Linked DNA regions of Caenorhabditis elegans. The protein of the gene in region 1 interacts with the protein of each later gene in a pairwise test. Each region holds a gene or a part of one and is shown on either strand. Other genes may lie near its edges. The genes, in order: sta-2 and snf-12.

What was found.
Region 2: the proteins of sta-2 (region 1) and snf-12 interact in a two-hybrid assay, tested with the Caenorhabditis elegans proteins (one study listed by BioGRID).

What each region holds. Positions count from the first base shown.
Region 1 is NC_003283.11:9,739,212-9,745,004, forward strand, and holds sta-2 (Signal transducer and activator of transcription b), read left to right. Parts: upstream 1-1,994; 5' UTR 1,995-2,011; coding exon 2,012-2,131; intron 2,132-2,209; coding exon 2,210-2,679; intron 2,680-2,779; coding exon 2,780-2,896; intron 2,897-2,944; coding exon 2,945-3,035; intron 3,036-3,082; coding exon 3,083-3,196; intron 3,197-3,238; coding exon 3,239-3,322; intron 3,323-3,445; coding exon 3,446-3,667; intron 3,668-3,977; coding exon 3,978-4,114; intron 4,115-4,164; coding exon 4,165-4,298; intron 4,299-4,680; coding exon 4,681-4,799; intron 4,800-4,924; coding exon 4,925-5,020; 3' UTR 5,021-5,120; downstream 5,121-5,793. Other genes in the region: aqp-4 (Aquaporin), read left to right, coding at 1-21, 76-237, 334-370; marc-1 (RING-CH-type domain-containing protein), read left to right, coding at 505-529, 573-760, 1,046-1,331, 1,538-1,659. UniProt on the Caenorhabditis elegans protein: Carries out a dual function: signal transduction and activation of transcription. Required, in concert with transcription factor elt-3, for up-regulation of the vacuolar H(+)-ATPase and acceleration of lysosome maturation at molt.
Region 2 is NC_003284.9:9,027,874-9,034,686, forward strand, and holds snf-12 (Sodium-dependent transporter snf-12), read left to right. Parts: upstream 1-1,596; 5' UTR 1,597-1,604; coding exon 1,605-1,937; intron 1,938-2,293; coding exon 2,294-2,672; intron 2,673-2,719; coding exon 2,720-2,863; intron 2,864-2,914; coding exon 2,915-3,008; intron 3,009-3,120; coding exon 3,121-3,292; intron 3,293-3,335; coding exon 3,336-3,562; intron 3,563-3,612; coding exon 3,613-3,707; intron 3,708-3,754; coding exon 3,755-3,884; intron 3,885-3,930; coding exon 3,931-4,054; intron 4,055-4,099; coding exon 4,100-4,279; intron 4,280-4,371; coding exon 4,372-5,157; intron 5,158-5,637; coding exon 5,638-6,042; 3' UTR 6,043-6,082; downstream 6,083-6,813. Other genes in the region: T25B6.3 (TryThrA_C domain-containing protein), read left to right, coding at 1-163, 214-412; nep-22 (Neprilysin), read left to right, coding at 6,710-6,740, 6,791-6,813. UniProt on the Caenorhabditis elegans protein: Probably mediates sodium-dependent uptake of unknown small molecule(s).

The DNA.
Region 1 (5,793 bases):
GTCGATTGATATTCTTTCAACGTAAGTATTGAAAATATTGCTAATATACGATGCCTCATAAATTAAATGTTTCAGTGGATCCATCACCGGCGCCTCGATGAACCCAGCTCGATCACTGGGTCCAAGCATTATTGGTTCGATTTTTGCAACTCAAAAAACATCTTTTTACTGGAATAATCATTATATATATTGGGCTGGACCACTTCTTGGATCCACAATAGCTCTTTGCATTTACAAGTAAGTGAAGAATAGCAAATTGAGGTCCAAGTGGGACGAGTCTCGTTTCCGTTAAATGGTTAATAAAAATATGTTTAAAATATTCATAATTTTCAGACTTTTCGAATCACGAGAAGAACGTATCGTGCGATGAACACGCTAAATTCATTACGTTTTGACATTTACCTGTGGTATTTATTTTTTATTCCCTTTTCAAATTCATATTATTTCTCATCTTTTCTTTCGAATCGAATAAATCGAAATCTTTTATTTCAATTCATTGTCGTTATGGGTGAAACAACATCTATCAACTGTGGGTTTTAAACTTTATGTAATTGAAAAATGTAACATTGAAGCTGCAATTTCAAGTAACAGTTCGTTGTCTTTGGCAAGCACACAGGTTCAATCACCAGAGAAACCAGTGAGACCGGCATGGCTACTTGCATCATTCTCTGAATCGACAACTTCTGGATCTCGTAGAATTTGTAGAATCTGTCAAATGCACGAGGGAGATATGGTTAGACCATGTGATTGTGCTGGAACGGTTAGTATTTAGTGATTCATAAATTTATGATAGTTTCGAAAAAGGGGACATTAAGGGCCTCAGAATCTCGTGGCTTTATGTTTTTGTATCCAATTTGTTTTGTAATTTTCGAAAAGTCTTGTATTTTTTTATATCCTTACTTATAGCCACGTAGAACAGATTAAGACAAAACCCCCACATTTAACAACTGACTTAAATATATTTTTTCTGAACATTGAATAAAATCCTGACACAAGACTACACAAGAAAAATATTGTATTGTTCAAATTAATTTACCAAATTCAGATGGGTGATGTGCATGAGGAATGTCTCACGAAATGGGTAAACATGTCAAACAAGAAAACCTGTGAAATTTGTAAATCTGAATACACGAATAGTGGTGCTCAGTTCAAGCCAATCAAGCAGTGGAGTAAACCAAAATGCTCATTAAATAATATTTTCCATGTTCTGATCATAGTTCTTCTTGGACTTTTGATTTCATACGTGGTAATTGTAATGGAAGAACGATGCTTTTACAAAAGAATTATTGAGAAGAATATGTATGCTCGCCCAGATGATACTGGAAGAATTTGTGAGTTTAAACATATATTACTTTCCAAATAACGACCTGTAGAAGTTTTTATCGAGAATAGTTACCTTTTCCGACTTTATAGAGGTTTTCGAATTGACAAACAAGTGCGAAATCTAGATCTAAGCAGAAAATAACAGAAATAACAGAAAAAAAATAACAGGCGGAAAATAGTTTCATCAGTAGACTTCAAATTACACATGTTCCAGGTGTGATTATAATTCTCTCCCTGGCAATTCTCAACAACGTATACACTCTGATTGCTCAATTCATTCGCTACTTGAAGAGTCAACGTCAAATTCGTTTCATTAATAAACATTTAACAATTTAAATTCGAATGAAGTGATGTTTTGTCTGCATTTTTTTCTAATTTTTTGTAATATTGTAAATTTATTCGATGAGTCATCTAGGAATCAGATGAAAAGAAAATGTATCTCAAATAAGAAGAGAGATAGACATACAGACTGCGCAAAACGAGTTTCTCGACCGAGAATGCAAGATGCCCACCCGACTGTCCGACGACATCGACGGCACTTTGTTGTAACATCGATTGACAATACAAACTCTGACATCATCGGTCACTTGTTTTATTTTGTTTTACTTTTACTCTTTTCTTAATTCATGTGACTACTTCGTCACTACTCCTCTGGTTTAAATTTTTAAATTCATTCTTCAAGTTCTAGATGTCGTCGGTGGTATCTGACCAAATGGACATTGAGTCCTCTTCTGCATTCTCCCCAGCCGAGCCAGTTGTAGATGGAGCATTCGTGTCAAAACATAATTTGAGCGCGGAAGCATATCAGGTAGGAACTTCAGTAAAACCTCAGTTATTAATTGTGATGAAAAGTCACAGCATTTACTGTTCATGATGCTGGTTTCAGGGTTTCAAAGAATGTGCAGATTCCCTTTTATCGGGGAAAATTGCCCAAAATGAGCAACTCCCATTCATTCAACGAACGCTGCAAATTTGTGAAAATGTGATCTTGAATTTCGAAGACGAAAAACAACATTTGATGAGCGATGTACTTCTTGTATGGGCTATGAAACAACAGAAGCTTAGTATTGCAACTCTTCACACCCAACAATTACATTACAAAGAATTAGATTTGATCAATTTACAATTTGAATATTTTGGGGAACTTTTGCAACAGACACTCTCAGGACTTGATTACTTGAAGCAATACTATCCGAACGTCGGATTTGAAGAGGTTCATTCAAAAGTTCGCAATTTGACCCATTATTTCCTTTACTACTCAATCATTGTCAGTCGTCAACCACCATCAGTGATTGTTAAATGTGGTGAAGCAGAGAATCATAGAAGAAGCAGATTCTGGTTTAATACTGAGATAAGGTTAGATTTATTCAAAAAAAAATGTTGAAATTTTTTTGAAGAAACAAGACCGGAGAAATTACATAATAGACCTAAATTTTGAATTAATTATTTGATTCAGAATTCTTGGTGGATCCGCTTTTGGAATTGATACAAACAATGAGAATTCAAATGTTAATTGTTACTTGATTACCGATGAGACTGCTAAGCAATTACTAAATAATGCTTACCTTGATATGTGAGTTTTGTAAATTATATCTGAAGCCAATTTCTTTTTTATTTTTAGTTTTGAATCTGAAGAATTCTGTATTGAGCCAAACACATCCACGTTTCAAAAAAAAGATGCAAGAGGAATAAAAGCGAAATTTGACGATATGGCGAGTTTTTCATTTAAAGATGGGAAATAAAAACAATTTCTTCTCAGAAAGTTGCAAAAAAGGTTGCACTTCGTCGAGATTCCGTTGCTACAAAACGATATTGTCTGTGCTATAATATTCAATTGCAAACAAATTGTGGAATTGAACTTGTCGGAAAAAAGGTTATAAATTGTTGGAGTGTATATTAAAATTAGATTTTTCAGGTTTCGCTTCCATTTGCTGTTCTTGTTGGTCCAAAAGCAGATGTTGAGGCAAAATTGTTCCTCGAAAGATCTTTTGCTGACTTGGTAAGTTTTTTTTTGGTATTTTTTAAAAAGAACACACACTATTTGGAACTCGAAAAATTTTTTAAATATCAACTGTGAGCTTTTTCAAAAATCTTCGAACAGAATTAAATGATCAAATTCCAGGTCCGCCATCCGCTTTCGGATATTCCCACTCATGTATCTTGTGCTGAAATGGCTGATGCTCTGGAAATGAAATTTCAAGCAATCATAGAAACACCTCAAAAAAATACTGATGGACCTTCTGTTGTTCAACCGAGAAAATTCAATATGCAAACAAAACAACACTTGGTGATGAGAATGAAACCAAATAATCAAGGATTTTTGCCACTTGATAATTTTATGAAGGTATGCGTTTTTTTGAAGTTTGGAACTTTATTTAAAAAATTATCGAAAATTGTCAAGAAAGGGAGAAAAGTGTCAAACTAGAAAACTCTCCATTCTCAAGAATCCCTCCATTCTCAAGAACCTAAATGGCAACTTGACAGTCCTTCAAAATCCTCATTTTTTGTGGAAACAGTAACAAAACGTTTATGTATGTCCTTGTAAACTTCAAAGAAAAAAACAAGTTCCATTGTCAATAGAGTTCCAAAGTAATGGAATACTCTTTTCTTTTTTCTTTTTACTTCAACTACAACTAAACCCCCTCAATTTTCAGCTTCCGGTTGCAGAAGAATTCCAGCATAAGAAAAGTGCCTCTGCGGAAGGGGATTGGAAATTGGTGCCATTCTACGACTGGTTCTTTAAACTTGCAGAAATTACAAATAAGTACCTATACAGTATGTGGTATGACGGGTAGGTAATGACATATATGTGACGCGAAAATTAAAGCCTTTCTGTTTCAGCTTGGTTTATGGGTTTTGCAGTAAAGAAGACGCAGAGAATATTTTGAGATGCATACCGAGAAGTGTTTTGTTGGTTCGATTTTCGGATATTGAATACGGAAAAATTAAGATTTCAGTAAAGAATAGGAATGGTGGTAAGCTTTCAAAATCATCAAATGAATTCAAGGAAGTTCGTGAAAAACGAAGGGTGTGACATTACTTTTGCGATTTCGATGAGAAAATTCAACAAAAATTCAAGACCGAAATCTATACCAGTTATCTCAGTTTTTCTCTGTTTCAGAAAAATTTTCCCGTACTTTTCTTTTAAATATACTTTTATGAATAGGACTGCATTGAACAGAAGAAGAAAAAACCTCGCAAATAATCCAAAAAATATTTTTAAATATTCAAAAAACAACATAAACTTATCATATTCTAACATAGTTGCCAGCAACATTCTACGCACTTTTACATTTATAAATTCAAAATCAAATAATTTTTGTTCCGAAAACCGAATCAACTCTGTTTGTTTTCTAGAAATTCGTCATCACTGGTACGAGCACGCTGATCTAAATGCTCGATCCCTGAATTCAGAACTTCTTTCAAATCACAAGTTCTCCGACGTCGATCTCATTTATCCAGACATTGATCTAGAGGTATGTGTTTACACAGAATATTGCCCCTTTCATTTCTCATACATTCGATAAGAATCTTCATGAAACGCTTATTAAATGCCTGAATATGAATAATTGACATTTCGTTAATGACCAAACAACTTCAGGTTGCTCTCGGAGGACGGAATAAGCCACGTATTCGACTTCCACGCAATCTTGCTCCCGACGAAATCTATTTTGATAATCAAGGAGCCGCCACTTGAATGAACGATAACTGAGCATTTGAGATATCAGTTAGATTGTTATAAGTACAAACACACTCACTCAGAATTTAATAAAATAAAGTAATTTTACAATCAAAAAGCGAACTATCAACACGGTTCATTTACGTTTTAGGGTTGAAATGAGTCATTGAGAGGTAATCGGAGACATCATTTGGCAAAGAAGGAATACAAATAAACACACATGGTGGGTTAATTGAGAAACTTGTACAAATGGTAATAAAGAATAGAGAGGAGATTTGTAGTTTGAACTAACATTAAGAGGTGGAAAAACCGTCAATTTGGTTTTTGATTTGGTTCCTTGAACAAAAAATGAAGGGGTCAGGAATCACAAAAAAACGGTCTCGATTGAAAATAATGAATTTCTGTAACTGTTGAATATTTGAATAACAAAACGTTATTGAAGACATTCTTCAGAAACATGTTATTAACTACTTTGTGTTTAACTTTTTTAAATTTCATATAGTATGTATACGCAGGAGCCTCATAAAAGGTGATTATATCGGCTCCCGCTGCACTTTGCACAGAAATGTCCCAGAGTTTAGAATATCTTCAGTGTGCCCAAAGCAGATGTTGGAACTTTTTTTAACACTCTTTGACTGAAAACCTAATTTTCTTAAGTTTTGCGTCCACTCGGATCGCTTATGCCGCTTATCATCTCAATTTGACAATGATAACACTTTCTATTCTTCTAATGATAATAATCCATCAGAGAAAACCATTCCTTCAAAAAAACATACACACATCCCGGATAG
Region 2 (6,813 bases), on another chromosome or scaffold:
TGGAGCTCAACAACCTTGCCAAGGTAGACATGTCATCTGCGTCAAAAGAACTGTTTCAAGAGTTCATGAGCACTCTTTGTTGGAACAATCTCACTCCAAAAAACTTTTTGGAAAACTATATTAGATGGGAAAAAGTGGAGTTTTTGGAAAGCGCAAAAAAGTTGTAAGCAATTCAATTATAATTCTTATAATTCTAATATTTCATATTTTCAGTCTTGTCCCGTCACAGTCCGACCATCATTTGTACAACAAGTACTTCTTTCACCTCGGGCACAATTTCCTTTCCAACTGCACCGTCAAAAACGACAAAAAATGGAGAGAGTCTCACTTTGAGAAGCACGAGAATGATTTGTTTGATACCTACATGTACGACGGAATGGCGCATCGCGAATGGGCTACTTTAGAACTTTAAATGCATTTTTTGATACCTCATTTAAAAATCACCAATAAGCTAAATCGAGTCTACTTGCGCACCAGGGCCGTGTGGATTTTTGACTTTCTTGAGTTCTGTGCGGCTGTAAGTGATCATAAATGTCAAGTTTTATATAGTTTTTATATAATCATTATGTTGGATTGTTTCTGAACAATAAAATGTATCTATTCACTTGTTTTGCTCGCTGTCCAAAAAAAAGTTACAGTGCCCTAAAGTGGTCGCCATAATTATTTACCACCCTGTATATTCAAAAGTAGTACTATAGTCTTGTAGTCAAAAAAAAAGTGTGACCAAGAAATAACACGGCTAACTATTTTGGATGCAAAAAAATGCTGGTACCGCTGAAAAGGTTTCAAATTATACATGATTTTGAAAAAAGCTTGCCTATTGAAACGTGCACAATTGGTTTTGAGGGAAGGAAGTGCACTAAACAGTGTTTTTGTGGCAAAATGGGAATACATATCTAAGGTTCTCTGCGTAAAAAATTAATCGACTGATAATAAAAATCACGAAACTCAAAGACATCGAGAAAAGTTTAACGTTATCTTTATATCATTTACAATACGAAAGCAAAATTATTACAATACGAAAGCAAAATTTTATTTATCCTTCTGTGTTTTAACTCAACAAATTGAAATCTAACGCGTTGATCATACGCAATAGTTTGTTATTAAAAACTAATTTCAACCAAATTCTCACAACATCAACTGTACTATTCTCGCGTACTCAATAATCTCTCGTCTTGCAAGAAGAGGTGAGTTTGTCAAACAAAAAGACGGGAACAGGTTTTCCTCGGGTTTCCCTTTATCGCCTGCGTTTTGTAGATTCACGATCTCTAACCTTTTTAACCTTCTTCACCGTCGGCATCACCTACAACATTATTTTCGTGCCGTTGTAGTTTTTATTTTTCTTAAAAGTTATAAATCTTCCTTATCATATGTATAATCAACATTTAATAATTTTATCAATGTTTGAAATATAGCTTTTGGTATTCTGAGTTGAGTTTTCTGAAAGAAAAAGAAAAAGTGCTCAGTCAGAAAATATAACATGTAGTGTGTATGTATTCTTTGAGCAATTGTCGAGTGTCTTACAATAAAAGTACTATCATATTCCGCTACGATTTCGGAATCCCTGAAAAATAAAGAGAACATATTTTTTCTAGCAGATCAAAATGAACGGAGAATGGAAATCAGCTCTCCGATTGCAAATCGAGGCACTCGCCAAAAGAAACGAATTGCACCGTAAATCATCAGTTGACGAGATTAAGAAGCGAACGGTAGATATGGACAAGCGAATTGTCAAACTTCGAGAACTTGTTGGTTCAAGTGCTAATGACGCTGCCCTATTTTATTTGGAGTGTGTATGCCATGCAGACGAAACAGAACGTCTTTTAAACCGAGGAAGTTCAGTGGGAAAAGAGAAGAAATGGAAAAAGGTGAAGCGAAAAACAAGCTCATCAGTAGCTCCGCCATTATCCCGAACAATATCGTCCCTTCCAGGTGTGGTGAGTGTGAATTTAATCTCTGAAAAATGAACATTGGTGTAGGACGTTCAAGAGTTTTGTCAGAAATTGTAACAAGAAACGTCCGACATTTTTTTCAAATTGAGAGTAAATTGTTTTAAATGTGGCCGATGGCGTCCATGTTAATTTAAGTTTCAATATAAAGCATACTCAGCTTAAGTTAAAAAATTTAGATTTCTCCTACATTTTTTTCACGATAGATGCCGATTAAACGCCTCACAAGACAAGGTGATTTCAGTTACGTTGACAAAACGATCAGAAAAAACTTGGACAATATGATAACCTGTCATTTGAAAAACGGAATTATAAATAAGTTAACTCTTCATTCAAATTTTCAGTCATCTCCTGATGTTATTCAAACTATTGATGTATCAGCCCTTGAAGACCAAACGCCTCAACGTCCGCACTGGTGGGACCAATTTCAATTGTACAGACGAACAGACTTACTTCGGTTTTCCAAGCAAAATGATCGACGGGAGCTGTGGAGAACGCAGAAAGATTTCTTCCTCTCTTGCCTTGGATTCATGGTTGGAGTCGGGCACACTATGCGGTTTCCAGCAAAAGTCTATCAGCATGGTGGAGGCGTTTTCTTTATCCCGTACCTGTTTTCGCTAATATTTTTTGGTCTTCCATTAGTATTTTTGCACTTATCATTAGGTCAGTATACTGGACAGGCAGCTAATACAGCGTTTCAGAGATTGATGCCAATTGGATCAGGTAAATCAGATATGAGTGCAAAACTTATCAATCGTAAAGATATTCAGGAGTTGGTTGGGCTTTGGTTGTGATTGCAATTCCGGTAGCGGTTTATTACAATATTATTGTGGCTTGGGCAATTCACTACTTTTTTCAATCGGCAAAAGGACTTTTGTTGGGAGACGAACTACCATGGGAAACTTGTAGAGACGGTGAGCTGTTTAAAACTCAAAATAATCATAACTGGAATGATCCAAATATAGAATGGCAACTAGACAACCGTTGCTGTAACTTGCACAACTTGCATAGCTGCTTCAATTCTACAAACTCTATCACTGCACCAGAAGCATTTTTTCAGTGAGTTTTTGGAAAATGAAGTACATATGTTTATTTTCTATTTTTATTTTTTGTTGACAAAAAGCTATTTTTTAAAAAACGTTTAAATCTTTGCAATTATTTTTGCGTTCAGTTCCGAAGTTCTTTCATTATCAACATTTGGGGATTTTGCGTTGGGCCCCCTACAATCTCACTTGGTGCTATCCTTAGCTGCTGCGTGGCTTTTGGTCTTTTTTGGAGTGTTTAAGGGTCTTGGATCAATTGCTCAAACTATGAACGTAACTGCTACTGTGCCATATTTACTGGTTTGTTGTAATTTTTTTCAGCTTTTAACGAAAATATTTCCAGTTGTCTATTCTATTACTGCGTGGAATTAGTCTGCCCGGAGCCAACAAGGGGCTTACATTTTTATTCACTGTCGATAGTACTAAACTTTGGAAATGGCAAATTTGGAAGTCAGCTGCTGAGCAAGTGTTCTATGAGCTAGGAATAGATGCGGGTCCACTCATTTCAATGGCGGCGTTTTCTAGGTATCGGAATAATATATACCGAGACTCGGTGCTTTTGGTAATTATGTTAGTGAACACTATCAGACGATGACAGAAAAAACATGGTAAGGTTTTAGGGATGCACTGACTTCTTGCCTCTCTGGAATGGTCATCTTTTCATTTGTTGGATTCATTGCAAGCGAGTCAAACAGCAATGTAAATGATGTTTTAAGTAAGTTTATCTGTTCCATATCAACTATGTCATTATTTCACTTTCAGAGCACGACCCTCTCTACCTGTCATTTACAGTTTACCCGGGTGTCACATCATTCATGTATTGGGGAGGTCTCTGGGCAACGTTGTTTTTTGGAATGTTGGTTTTAGCAGCAATTGATGCAGAATTTGCATGGTTGGTTCATACCTTCATATCAAGTTCATTGTTTTTATTTTTACAGGCTTGAAATGATAGCATCTGCATTTATGAATCACTTCTCCATGAAAAACAAAGCAGTGGAAAACAGGCTTTTGGCATTTCTTTGCTTAGCAGGGTTTTTTCTTGGTTTACCGTTGTGTGCTCAAGTAAGTGTAGTAAATTCTATACTATTTTTCTATCAAAAAATTCAGGGTGGGATTTTTGTATTTCATGCAATTGAAAATCTTAACGCTAACTGGAACTCGTTCTCCCTAGCGTTACTCTCAGTGGCTATTGTATGTTATGTGTACGGGATCGACAACTATTTGACGGATATTTCTGCAATGCTGCGAGTTCCAAGAATTCAGATATCAAAGGCGACAAGATTGAAAGTAAGATTTTGGAAAAAAATAGAACACTACGTATTACCAACAAAAATTTGAAATTGTTTTACACATAACAATATAAATTAAACGTTTTCCAGGAAAAACTAATATATTTCTTCGGACCTGGTGGAATATATATAAAGTTTTCACTTTGCTTCATTTGCCCTGTTATCTTGACAGTTCTCCTTGTTGCTTCAGTTTTAGGATACCAGAGAATCTCATTTGCTGGGCGACCAATTCCGATTGACTATGAAATTGTTGCTTGGATTGTTATGATTGGACCATTACTTGTTGTACCTTTGGTTGCATTCATGCAAATACGGCAGATCCGAAACGAAGGAAAACTTTTGAAATCTCTTTTTGACACTTCCGAGTGGAGAGAAAGCCAAGACGACTCCCTTGAGCCAAAAGATCTTTATATGCGACAAAGTGGTAAATTTGAGAGCCCACCGAATAGGCGAAGAACACCAACAATTTTCACTCATCGAGAAAACACTTATATGTACATTGATTCACGTGGACCAACAGTGAGATCACGTGTCTTCCCACTTGGAGCTTCTCTAGATCCGTATGGATGGAAGGCGGGAAGACTCAGAGATCGTCAGCAACAAATTGAAGAGACCGCTTCGAATTACTCAGAGGAAGATTCAGCGACGACAAATTCGTTCATGGCGTCAACTGTGAAACACAATGATGACATGGAGTTAACCCTATTTGGTTCGCCACCTGCAATATTAGGAGATGACGAGAAAATAATGACAACCAGATTTTCGGAATCGATGCCTGTAAACTATAAATGTCGTAATGTTGAAGTGCCAAGAATACCAAACAAGCTACCACAAAATATGGAAAGGATGGCTCGTAAAACACGCAAGAAGCGAAGTGTAAGTGAATATAAGATATTTTCAAAAACATGAATTATTATGTTGACAGAGCATTATTGTTTAATTTTTTGTTAGTAGTAGTATATGAAAAGCGTTTGCCGAAAACCTAAATTACAAAATGTTTTACCTCAAACTTTTAGATATAGATTCTGCCAAATGATTACTTCGAAGCAGTAATTAAAAAAGTCATTTTGCAATAACTTTTTTAAAATCAAACACTTATTAACAAAAAGCAACTGAAGAATTGTTGACCCAGTATTTTTTTCTTGATTTAAAACTGCTGATCATTTTAAAAATTGTATCAAATAATCTGAAAGGAGATGTTTACAACTTTATTCAATAGATTTTCATGAGAACGTATAGGTTTGATTTTATTTGATTTTTTATGTGAAGCTTTTGAAAAAAATTAAATTAATAGTTCGTTTTCTTTCAGATCATTTCAATTTGTTCAAACCATCTTTATATCAAAATAAATTTCAGAGCCCATCGGCATCCGATCCACCCGTCCCGACAAGTCCACTCCCTCCACCGCCCAAATTACAACACTGCCGATCTGAGCCCCCAATGATGAACAGCAAAGAGTCACACTCTCCTGAAATCATCACACCAGGTGATGATTCACCGTCAATTTCTAACTCATCTGACGACTCATCCGATGACTGCTTTCGTAGAGCTACAGTCATCCGACGGAAAACCTCCGACGACGACGCATTCACTCATTTCTCTACAGCAACCGCTGAATCAATTTCCATTACACCCTTGGACTTTCCCAGACAGCGCTCTTTGAGTTCAGTGGCAATTTATGACCAGGAGCAGAAGAATGGCAGGTCGAAAGTGTTATCACAGTTAAAGCGGCCGAAACCAATTGATATGCCGCCAAAATAAATTTTGTTGCAATTTGTGAAATAAAAGATTGTTGATTTTGAATATAAACATCAAATATTGAAATGAGAACAAAGTGATTTTTCAAAGAAAATTCGCCAAATTAGAGTACATATATTGTAATATGAAAAGTCTGTTTCCACTTTATAAATGTCTAAGTGCAAAAGAATAATGATAATTCTATAAACATTTTTCCTGCAATTTTCTCAATTGTTATTCAAAAGAATGTTGGAAGAGTTGAAAGAGGAAAAGATCACAGTTTCTGCATCTTCTTCTCACAGTATTTAAAACAGTTTCCGTTAAGAACTTGAACTAATTCCGGACTTAATATCAAAATTCTGCAAATCCTCCAAGATGATTTTCTAAATCTTTGCGTTGATCCTGCAAGCACTATAAAATACGTTTTTTTTTTCAAATTTATTTCCACAGAAAAAACCATACGATACGATAACTCCTTTTCTGATTAATACTGTTTTAATCCCCTTGTAATGTGCGAAACTGTACATTTTGTCCTTTTCAGGCATTAGCAGGCGATACATGAAGTGCCTGTACAAATCGAACATATTAAACCAACATACGCACTTTGTTGGAGCCGATAGTGATGATAAAACGGCAGAAACCAAAACGGTTGATAACGCGGCAACATTTGCCTTTGTGACCGGCTTCAAGCATGTCGCAGGCAATTCCTCTAGTAACTATCGGTAAGTTTCAACCTTAATTTTATATTGTCCTTGCAAGACATATTTTTCAGCGGCAGTGGTAATAGCCGTTGGT